2 linked regions of the Rattus norvegicus genome follow. The protein of the gene in region 1 purifies or fractionates together with the protein of each later gene. This does not show direct contact. Links are inferred from orthologs where the notes say so. Each region holds a gene or a part of one and is shown in the gene's direction. Other genes may lie near its edges.

Region 1 (5,924 bases):
GTATTTTTACCTTTACCTCTCTGATGTACAGGCCTGAGCTCAAAAAGCAAAACTAGCAGGAAGTATTTTTTATTGACTCACCTCAAACACCAAACACACCTTAAACCTATCAAACTTATTTCTCAAAAAAGTACATAGAACTAATTACAAGTTACTAATTAGGCAAAAGGTTTTCATGACTTAGACAACAAAGGGTTGCTGTTGTTAAACTCCCAGGAGTTCTAAGAAACACAGCTGAGTACAGCAGAACCGGGAGGACCTCAGCTACAGTGCACACAAGTGCACACATGGAAGCCATGGTGCTCACGTTCACTGTGCTCTGTGCTTTCTGCTCACTGCTTCGAAATGCAGACTGGGGCTTTTAGCAGTGCGTCTCGCAAGGTGAACACTTCTCACCAGGGACTCTCAGCTTTAAACCCTGTGTTTCTACTACTTGTCTGTATGTCTTACCATGGGACAAATACGTATGCATAAATATGTATACACAATGTTCTCCACTCTCATTTACATTGTATTCTTAAATTTAAAAGAAAATAGCATGTCTGTACTAACAAATACAAACAAGGTAGTAAAATAAATAATTATTTCTTTCCTCAGTTCTTTTACAACCTTTGAGAGAGGAAAGCCTTTTAAATGCTCTGTTTTTTTTTCTAGTAGTTGCACAGACATCCATATAAGATAACTAATCCACACAGCTTCCTGTCGCTCTAGGGTACGGGTGCTGACGGGGTGTGTGTGTGTGTGTGTGTGTGTGTGTCTCAAAACAGCTGAACATGCACCCATCTATCAGAACTTTAAATGTGTTTATTTTAATCCATTGATTGTTTCTCAAGGATTTCTAGGAAGAAATAGAATAAATGCCTAAATATGCTTTACATGTATGTACTGGGCTGGAGACATGGCCCAGCAGTTAAGAGAGCTTGCTGCTTTTCTACAGGATCCGAGTTCAAATCCCAATACCCACAGTGTTCTAGAACTCGAGCTCCTGGGGATCCGATACCTTCTTCTGGCTTCTATGTTATCCACACACACTTAAAAAAATTAGTTGGAAGTGACCAACTACAAAATGCACACTATGAATGTAGAAGGCTTTATTGGGAACACCTTTGGACTGCTACAATCTGGTATCATATATCAGTTAAGTAATAGTAGCATTATAGGATTTCTTTTCTTTTTTGAAGCTAATCAGAATAGATTTTAGAATTCAATGAAACTTGACTACTTTCTTGAAAAAATCATTTATCTTAGGTCACAGTTTTCTATTTATAGTAACTATAAAGAGATGTAAGTTAATGATACAATATCAGTCAGTACTTGCTGTTTTTATTCTTGGTTCCAAGTTTTTTGCTGTCAACTTTTGTAATGGTCAGAAATAAAATACTCATTCTCAGAAAAACAGTTCTCACCACATCAGCTACCAAAGGTTTGTTAAAGAGCAGTTCTTAGAGTCAGCAGGTATAAGTCCATGTGTTCTGTTTCTGTGAACCTGAGCGTGTGCGTGCCTTTTAAAAAAATAACTTTATCTGCAAAATGCCAAACTGAGGTGGTTTTCATCCAGAATTAAATAAGGTAATGAAAAAAGGATACTACCTAAGTACTTTATATAAAGAGTACGTCTAAGTATATGCTAGGTTTTCTCATGCCAGGCACAAGCCTGAAGTCTGGTTAGCATGCATATGTCATCTGCATATGTTCACATTGATAAATTGTATCATTTCTTCATGTTTGAAATTTGATTTATATGTAATCATTTGATGTAGATTTTGAACTTACTATTATAAGAACATAACTATTAAATCATAATGTGTTGTTGCCTCTTTGTCTTGTTTAGGAATGGAATATTACTAAACTTTCAATTGAGTACGATTCTGAGCCTTTTGGGAAGGAACGAGATGCGGCCATCAAGAAGCTGGCCACTGAGGCTGGTGTGGAAGTCATCGTGCGCATTTCACACACACTGTATGACCTAGACAAGTAAGGCTCTTTTATTGCAAGAAAATATATAATGATATTACCACCTTAGACATTTTTAGGTATACTGTTGAGTGATATTAAATACATAACTGAGTAAGGTTATAAAAATGGGAAATAATAGAATCAAAATTGTAAGAATTAAGAATTAAATGGGTTTATATCAAGCCCTTAGCATTTTACTTAGCTGTTGTGATTTCTATCCACTCAGTTGTAATACCAAAATTGTAGACACAGTGCATAAGATGAAAATATTTAGCACTTCAGTTTTAAATTAAGAAATGCTGTTCACACATTTATTTTACTGCTACCTTGGCCACTATTGCTGTCAGCATAATTAGATTAGCAGCTTATTTGACACATACCCAAGTCTTAGGTCGATATAGTTTGTGATCTTGTTATATGTATGCGAGCTTATCCTTCATTTGGTTGAAGTGAGAACTGAAGTAATAAACTACCCAGTTAGAGGCCTCTGATGTGTGGCATCATCTGCCTGGGTGTCTGCTGCTGGGATGTGTGCTAGTCCCTGGGATGCTTTGACTAGCAGAGTCTGGGGCCAGTTTGAGGTTAGAAAGTAACACGTGCTGACAACTTAGGAGGTTCATGAGCTGTGTAAGTTTACAGTAACTTCTGGCATGAAATTGTCTTTATAAACATGAGAATTCAAAATTTATGTATCTATTAAGTTATTTACACATTGTACTAACTTAACAAAACTAATTCTATAAATAACATAACAAACTGATTTTACTTGTGTTAGCAAGTAAATGAATAAAACCATTATTTGATTCAGACAGGCATCTCCCCTCAGTGTTGACTTACATGTGCTAGTCCTTTTGGTAATAAAACTTCTGTCTGATACCAGTTTCCTTAACATCAATGAGTGAGGAGACAGAATAGGATAAGAGATGTTGCTTCAAAGTGGGAGACTCAGCAGTATCATAAAATTAGTTTTTATTGGGTTGGTTATGAATACATACTAAAGGTAGAGTGTGTGTGTGTGTGTGTGTGTGTGTGTGTGTGTGTGTGTGTGAAAATCTTGTCTATGAGTTTCAGTTTGCTGGTGGATAATTACGAGACACTTAACAGTGTTGTTGTTGTAACAGTTCTGAATTCAACACACTTCATTATGTAATCTCAAGATATTAAACCAAAACTGTAGGTACAGCAGGGAGGACAGCTTTCCTGGTGGTTTCTCCCTGTAACATAATCAATAATGCGCAAGGTAAAGAAAATACCTAATGCTGGGGATGAAGAAATACTTGATTAGCAGTGTTACTAGTTATGTGATCCTAGCTACTTCATTTAACCCTGTGGAAGGCTTTTGTTTCTACATTGACAGATGGTAAAGCTGGATTTTAACTATAATTATAAGCAAATAGTTATAATAAAAAATATAATTAATTACTCTGAAGCCATGTCTAGACTTAATGCAGACCTTTGTAAGTGCTGCTGCCTTTTCTTTTCCTAGAAGTATGGTGATTGAGGTAGCTAGTGGTCAGCACTAACTGCATAATGCACTTAAACATAAATGACTGAGCATTTGGGGTACTTGTATGCATAGCATTTCTCTCCTTATCCACGAGGGCGTTCCAAAAGCCCCAGTGGATATGCAGAACCACTAATCACATCGAGCCCTGTGTTCCCTGGGCTGTCTGTCTAAAGATCACATCATGATAAAGCTTGGTTGTAAATTATAACTTATGGAGGTTAACAATAATATTGAACAATTAGAACAGTATGCTACAATAAGTTATGTGAGTCTAGACATAGTATTTTTGCAGCACAATTGAACCCAAGTAACTGAAACCACAGAAAACAAAAGCTCACCTAGGGGCTGCTGCTGGATAACAGATACACATGTGCTGAGGTCTGTAACATACAACAGATATATGTGTGTTGATGTCTGTAACATACAACAGATATACATGTGCTGAGGTCTGTAACATACTACAGATACACATGTACTGAGGTCTCCACATACACAGAAAATAGCAGTATAGTCCTCAAGTTCATAGAGGAAATTGGGACCCAAGAGAAGGGCAAGAGGAGACAGGGTTTCACTGTGTAGCACTGGCTGTCCTAGAACTCACTCTATAGAGCAGGATGGCCTTGAATTTATAGGGACCCACCTGCCTCTGCCTCCCAAGTGCTGGGACTAAAGGTGTGCACTGCTGCTGCTAGCAAATTTTACTTTTACTGATTATTTCTTGTTATAATTATCAGCCCGGTTTAGTTTTACTGGTGCCTCTTGAGATTTCTTGAATTGATTAATTTTTCACTTGTCCATTTATATTAATTTTTATATAGGTAGCCTATAGGCTAGTTGAACTACTTTGTTATTATTTAGTTATAATCCTAAATATTTGTCATTAATGATTTGATGTTTGCATATTTTATTATTGACCTCCAGGAATTCAGGAGAATGGTTTTAGATTCATTAACCATTTTTGAACACATTTTCTGGTCATATCAGAAGCTAACATTCAAAAGGTCTTAATTGATAAACTTTCTGATAGTAAACCTTTTTGAGTTTATCAACCAAACTACATAATCATTTACTCACCGTGTCTTATTCACTCTTGTAACAGGATCATAGAACTCAATGGTGGGCAGCCACCCCTAACATACAAAAGGTTTCAGACTCTCGTCAGCAAAATGGAGCCCCTGGAGATGCCAGCAGACACCATCACATCAGACGTGATAGGGAAGTGCACAACCCCTCTGTCCGACGACCATGATGAGAAGTACGGAGTTCCTTCCCTGGAGGAGCTCGGTGAGTGCAGCCCTTGATAATCGTGGTGCTCAGTGCTCGGATTGACAGGCACCAGAGTGTGTGGGCGGCACAGAGTGGACCTGATGGTGGCTAAGGAAAGTCGGAAGGAACGCAGAGTCAGCATGGGCAAGGAGATCTGGGTGGATCTGGGAAGATGGGGGACAGGTAAGGGGAGGGAGTATGATCAGAATACAGTGTATGAGATTCCCAAGTAATTTAAAAATATATTATATTGTAAAATACTTAATAATCACTTGGAAATTTCACGTCTATGTATTTTTACTGGAAGAAGAGAAAAGTAAAGGAGGAAATCAGAGAAAATCCTAGTAACCAAAAGTATCTTGTGCATCCTTAACCTGTGTCCTGCTGTCAGGTGAAGATGTGCGTCCTGAAGATGGGAGCCGAATTGCAGTCTTTGGTGCAGGACTCTGACGTTGGGTGGGGCCAGAGCAGGCCTATTTAGGCCGCACAGTCCCGTGTTGGCCTGTGTAGTCCTCTGTAAGCCAGTGTAGGCCTGTAGAGTGTATTTGTTTATTTTTGCAGAGTAATTTTTTCCCAAGTAAGTGTGGTCAGGTAAAAAAGCTATTTTTGTTGTAGAATAACAACAATATTAATGATGATTTTCCTTCCTTCCTTTCTTTCATTTTTTTCCCCCTAGGTTTTGATACCGATGGCTTGTCCTCTGCGGTGTGGCCAGGAGGAGAAACTGAGGCACTTACACGTTTGGAAAGGCATTTGGAAAGAAAGGTACAATGTAGATTCCAAATGAACATTTCAAACATTATTCCCCCTTGTTTAGATGGCATCAGGCACATCCAGGGAAGCTCACCCCTAAGCTTTACAATCGGAAAATACTGTCGACAAAGAAGACTGACAGAAGTGGTTACCACAGCACAGATCTAGTGTTCTGAAATCCCTGTTAGTCCTCGCTTCCATGCCCTTCCTCCCTCTTGGTTGTTCCCAGAGCTGGTGCCATGCTGTTGCTTCTGTCCTTTCTACCTGTCCCAGCAGACCTGGCGACCCAGAGTGGGGTTCTGCCTCAGCACTGCTCCTCTGGCCCGACACCAGTGGATTCCATGACACCATTTCACTTGTTCATTTTGTTAGTCTCACTGTTAATACACATTGACTGTACAAATTAACAAGACCCACACACATTGATCGTGTTCATCCGCCC
Region 2 (5,808 bases), on another chromosome or scaffold:
ATATATCCTACAAATTGGTAAACTATAACCACTTGATAGAACTTTTCTTACTTTTTTTTTTTACTTTTTTATTTTTTTAATTTTATTTTTTAACTCAGGACCCCATACCATGGAATACTGTGTCTAAATTCTTTTAACTTAATAGCTAAAATTAGCCACTCAGTCACACATACATGTAGTTCTGCTTGTGTACAACACATAAGCTGTTGCAGTAGCCATGCAGGATAGTGTGTAATCTAAAAACTGAATCTTAAGGTAGATACCTTCAAGACTGCTCTTTGTTTTGTGTGCTTTATACATTCTTCTGAACTTTAGGATCATCTTATCAAATGCAAGGGTAAAATGCAGTTAAGATTAAAATACAACATCTACCAACATCAAGGTTCTAATATAAAAACATGAATGTCTTTCCACTTGCTTAGGTATCATTAAATATCCTTCAGAAATTCTGAAATTCAGCTAAATTTGTTCTTTTGTTTTCTTTTTGAACAGTATGTAAATTACTAGTTCAATTTTTTTTCTCCATCTTTATTAACTTGGGTATTTCTTATTTACGTTTCAATTGTTATTCCCTTTCCTGGTTTCCAGGCCAACAATCCCCTAAACCCTCCCCCTCCTGCTCCCCTTCTTTATGGGTGTTCCCCTCCCCATCCTCCTCCCATTGCCGCCCTCCCCCCAACAGTCTAGTTCACTGGGGGTTCAGTCTTGGCAGGACCCAGGGCTTCCCCTTCCACTGGTGCTCTTACTAGGATATTCATTGCTACCTATGAGGTCAGAGTCCAGGGTCAGTCCATGTATAGTCTTTAGGTAGTGGCTTAGTCCCTGTAAGCTCTGATAGAATTTTTCTTACTTTTCAAATATTTTGTTTCATTTATATGGTCATATTGTATCCCCTTTCTTTATATTATGATTACATTTTGAATTTCAGAAACTCCTCTAGTCTGTTCTAGTTGAACATGAAATTTTTCTCCAACTGTGAGTTTAGTATTTTTTAATGATATGACAGCTGGCGCTCCAAAACTGAGTTTGAAGCCAACCCTGGGCTACAAAATGAGTTCTGGGGAGGGAAAAACACAGTGATGCCCTACATTTCTAGGATAAATCTTACTTCGTTATGGCAAATTTTTGAAACGATGGTGGTGATTTTCTTGAGTTATAAATGAGCAACAAGGATATAGAATTGGTTTTATAAGATAAATAATATGAGGGGTTGGGGATTTAGCTCAGCGGTAGAACGCTTGCCTAGCAAGTGCAAGGCCCTGGGTTCGGCCCCCAGCTCCGAAAAAAAGAAAAGAAAAAAAAAAGATAAATAATATGAGTGGGTATAACTTGTAATTCATTATCACAACTGAAGTTTGAAACTGCGTTAATTGGTGAAAAGGGAAATGTGGGTATTTTCTAGGACATGCACTTGATTAAACAGTTGAACAGGTAAATTTTACAATAATTTCTAAGTAATTGGGCGTTGTTTCTTCCCCCTGCCAGGGATTCTGTGTGTGGCTGATCAGTGTCATGGCTTACGGGAGCTGGCCCTGAACTACCATTTGCTCAGTGATGAGCTGTTGCTCGCACTGTCTTCTGAAAAGCACGTTCGCTTAGAACATTTGCGCATTGATGTTGTCAGTGAGAACCCGGGACAGACACACTTCCACACGATCCAGAAGAGCAGCTGGGACGCCTTCATCAAGCACTCACCGAAGGTCAACCTAGTGATGTATTTTTTCCTGTACGAAGAGGAGTTTGACCCGTTCTTCCGTTATGAAATCCCTGCCACTCATCTTTACTTTGGGAGATCAGTCAGCAAAGATGTGCTTGGCCGCGTGGGCATGACCTGCCCCAGACTAGTAGAACTGGTAGTGTGTGCCAATGGCTTGCGGCCCCTTGATGAAGAGTTGATTCGCATTGCAGAACGTTGCAAAAATCTGTCAGCTATTGGGCTGGGGGAGTGTGAGGTCTCATGTAGTGCCTTTGTCGAGTTTGTAAAGATGTGTGGGGGCCGCCTGTCTCAGTTATCCATTATGGAAGAAGTGTTAATTCCTGACCAGAAGTATAGTTTGGAACAGATTCATTGGGAAGTGTCCAAGCATCTTGGCAGGGTGTGGTTTCCAGACATGATGCCTACGTGGTAAGGGACTGCATGACAGGGGGCGTGGTGAGTGAGTAGCACCTTCCTTTTAAGAAAACGCATCCTAATAAACGTTTATCTGCTCGAGAGCTGTAATTCTGTTTTGTGGCATAGAAATTTGGCATCTTTGGTGAGCTTGTGTAATGAAGGGCGTTTGTCGGAAGACCTACAGTTTGGGTCAGATAACTCCTTTTTTTTTTTTTTTTTTGCAGCCTAATAGCAATCAAATGTTTAAAAATTAAAAATGTTGTTCCATATTTGAAAGTAATATCCAATTATGAAAATTAAGTAATTCATAGTCTGAAGGAAACAACCTGAGTGTTGTAATATCTCAGAAGTGTACTAATAGGTTTTCTGAAATGTTCTCTATGCATTTTTTTAAAAAAAATGTAAACTTGACATTTTAGGGTCTTCAGTTCTAAATACACCTGTTATAAGGTGTTTAATACAGCTCAGGAAAGTGAGCATTCTGTGAGAGACATGTATGACAGCGCTCAGAAGACACTGGGTGAATGTTTTCAAACATAATGAAGCTGTTTTAAAAATAAAGATATAAATATCAAAGAACTTAGAACACTGATAAATGTTGCCGTGGTTATTAAGGAGGGCACACAGAGAGAGCCGGGATCAAATCTAGAGGAATCTGTGGAGTAGGAGAGAGCTAGCACTTAGCTTTGTATAAACTTTAGGTCCCTGTGTAAAATGCTAAACCACATGCACTCTTTGTTCTGTCACTAATGTCCTTGGTGCCTGAGGCTTTGTATGTAAAGGAATGCTTTACTCTCTCTAAATCTTTATTTAAACTAGTCTTAAACTATTACACAACAATTTAAATGAAAATTTTACTTAAAAACCCAACTGAAATAATTAAAAGTAGAACTTTATAAATTGTTTCAGAACAGTTTGATGAAAGAATATTAGTCTCAGTGAACCGTAGTGATGGCTCATGCTTTCAAGTTTGGAGTGACATAGCTACAATAAATACAGCTTTAAAAATGAAAGAGTATCTGTACAGCTCAGAAACACTAAATTAAAAAAAATATATTTCATTATAACTCGAGTAAATACTACTCAGTGAACTGGAACATTTTAATAGGAAAATACAGTTTTGTGATTGTCAATTTGGTTGAAACTGGTATTTTATATTTAAGTTATGTAGCTTTTCCTATTACTTTCATACAAATAAAGGTAGATTCTAGACTCTATATAGTATAAAGATACTAAGGTTTGGGGGTCTTTGTTCTGTTTTGTTTTTTTAGGTACTGTATGAGCTTGGGTTCTGGGCACTAGTGCTAACAGACGCCTGCTCTGAGAGAAGTTAGAAGTGGTTCACCCCAGCAGCATGTTTCAGTGGGGCTTTTATAAAGCCTGAGGCTATGGAAGCTAACAGTCCTAAAGACAGATGACCTAACTAAGAACAAAAGAGAGTGTGGCTTTCTACACAGCTTAAACTTCAGAAGTGATGGCGTTCTTTCAGGCACGGCAGTTGAGAAGGAAAAGACCGGCCCAGAGTTCCACGTCAAAGGCAACTCTGAGAACATTTTACCCTTACTGAATAGTAGGGAGCTCTGGCTGTATAGGAAATACTTGTGCTAGTTGGTTAGGTTCTGGGTTATTTTTTTTAACTTTTCTGAACAACATTGAAAAATGGATTTGATGGTATATAGTCAGTTTTACTAACCAAAGCTTTATTTGAAAACTTAACTTTTTGTACAAATTGAATTACATGCTTGAATACTTTAAGTCACTTTATAAGCAAAATGCATAGCATTTAATTTGTTTATACTGTAAAATATATGTTAAATGGTTTTATCAATTTGAGAATAAAGATAGTTACTACTGCGGTTGTATTTTTATAACTTTAGAGAACTAATCAAACATATACTACAATATATATTATGATAGCTTCAGAATCTATTATATGGTAGTCTTTTAAACAGTCTACTTTGAAGATACAAAACTTGGCACACTGATTCTATTCTGATGCTCTAATACTTGTGAAACTTACCGTGAAATATAAATTCTTTTATGATTAAAAATAAGGAATAGCTTCTTTATATATTCAGAATGAAAGCTATACTCTACTTGGAAATATGACTCTTGGGGTTAAAGCTGGTGGATTCTCTTGGCAGTTGTTAGCATGCACATCATTCATGACTACTTGTAAGTCCAGTTCCAGAAGACTGACACCTTTGCCATCCCTGGGCACCTGCATTCATTTACATAGACAGACCTAGACACTCACACATAATTAAAACAAGGATAGATATTTTTACAAAAACATTCTTAGAGTTTTCTTTAGCCTAGCAAGCCATATTAGAAATCTATATAAATCAGAATAGTTTTAAAACAATAGAAATTAATGTATCTTAAGTAAGTTTCAGGAAACAGTCCAATTTGCTGTAATTGGTAATCTAGGCCATCTTTTTAAAATACGCCTTGCTAAACAGTAATAAGTTACTGCAATCTGTTTCCAAAACCTGTTTCTATTTGAGGCCATTTTTAGTGTTAGCAAAAAGTAAAAAGTATCACCTGTTTACTGGCCTTAAACCCTTCTTTAAGATAACAAAAGCATTGTCTCAGAGAGTTAAAGGTTATTCTTAGAATTAATTAATAATCAAAATGTAAATACCTGAATAGTTCCAACAAGGAAGAAACTCTTGAAGGCAGTCAGAAGACCTTGAAGCTACCTGCACATTCAAGGGTAAATACAAATGTGTTTCTTTTCAAAAGTTGGCGGGGTGTGGTGGAACAGACAGGCTGTTCAGAAGGCTAAGCCAGAGGATGCACATTCAGACACATTCGGGGCCGAATGAGCTATGAGTGAAAGGCAACCTAGACCTTGTTTTCACAAAGTTAAAAAGGATTGTAGGAATGTAATAGTTCAGTGGTAGACCGCTTCCCTTCCGTGAGTGTGTGTGGGTGTGTGAGAGAGAGACAGACAGACAGATATCCCTAGGCTCAGTACTCCCAGACACATCACATGTGAGACAGACTGAAGAATGTATTGTTATTAAACACTTTGTATATAACGCATTTTGGTCATTTTCCACTCTCCCTTACTCTGCCGTCCTCTCTTGCCGAACTCCCTTCTACTCTCGAGTCTTTTTTTTAACCCTTGGAATCCACTAACTTTAATTATGAGAGTTGCCCACATGAACAGGGTGGGAGGTTACGGAAACACGGGCAGTTTAGGAGTGGCAGTACCACTGGAGAAAGTGACTTCCCCCACCCCCCACCCCCATACAAGCTACCAGTAATTTGTGAAGGGTGTGGCCCTGAGCCCCATCCCCATCCATGACGTAATGTTTATAACACCATCTAGGGCGGATAAACAGTCGCAGGTACACATTGCAGAGTGCAGTTTCCACTGCTTGCCTAGATGGCAGCCTCTCATGGTGCCCCTTGTGATCCCCTAGCCCTTGGTTCCTTCTGCTGTCTTTTCCGTGTGTACTGGGCTTTGGAGGGAGGGACGATAGATGTCGTGTTTAGGGTCTTATAATGTTTTTCCTGTTGTCTGTCTAGGGAGCCACTATTGAATAGAGGTTCTGAGTGTTTGAGTTACTTCACCTTTTAACTGTTTCCTTCTATCTGCAACAGTAAATTACCCATTAATGAGCCAGATTCGTGGGTGATATGTTTACTCTGAAGCCCTAATAGTCAAGCTCTTAGAAGAAATATTA

Evidence for each region.
Region 2: the proteins of Cry1 (region 1) and Fbxl3 purify together in Homo sapiens (affinity purification with mass spectrometry; 4 studies listed by BioGRID and IntAct, counting the BioPlex papers as one, with this or other methods). This does not show direct contact. The link is inferred for Rattus norvegicus from reciprocal best matches to the Homo sapiens genes CRY1 and FBXL3.

What each region holds. Positions count from the first base shown.
Region 1 is NC_086025.1:20,461,705-20,467,628, forward strand, and holds part of Cry1 (cryptochrome-1), read left to right. Parts: intron 1-1,831; coding exon 1,832-1,974; intron 1,975-4,562; coding exon 4,563-4,747; intron 4,748-5,405; coding exon 5,406-5,494; intron 5,495-5,924.
Region 2 is NC_086033.1:86,319,664-86,325,471, reverse strand, and holds the end of Fbxl3 (F-box/LRR-repeat protein 3), read left to right. Parts: intron 1-1,485; coding exon 1,486-2,129; 3' UTR 2,130-3,968; downstream 3,969-5,808. UniProt on the Homo sapiens protein: Substrate-recognition component of the SCF(FBXL3) E3 ubiquitin ligase complex involved in circadian rhythm function. Plays a key role in the maintenance of both the speed and the robustness of the circadian clock oscillation.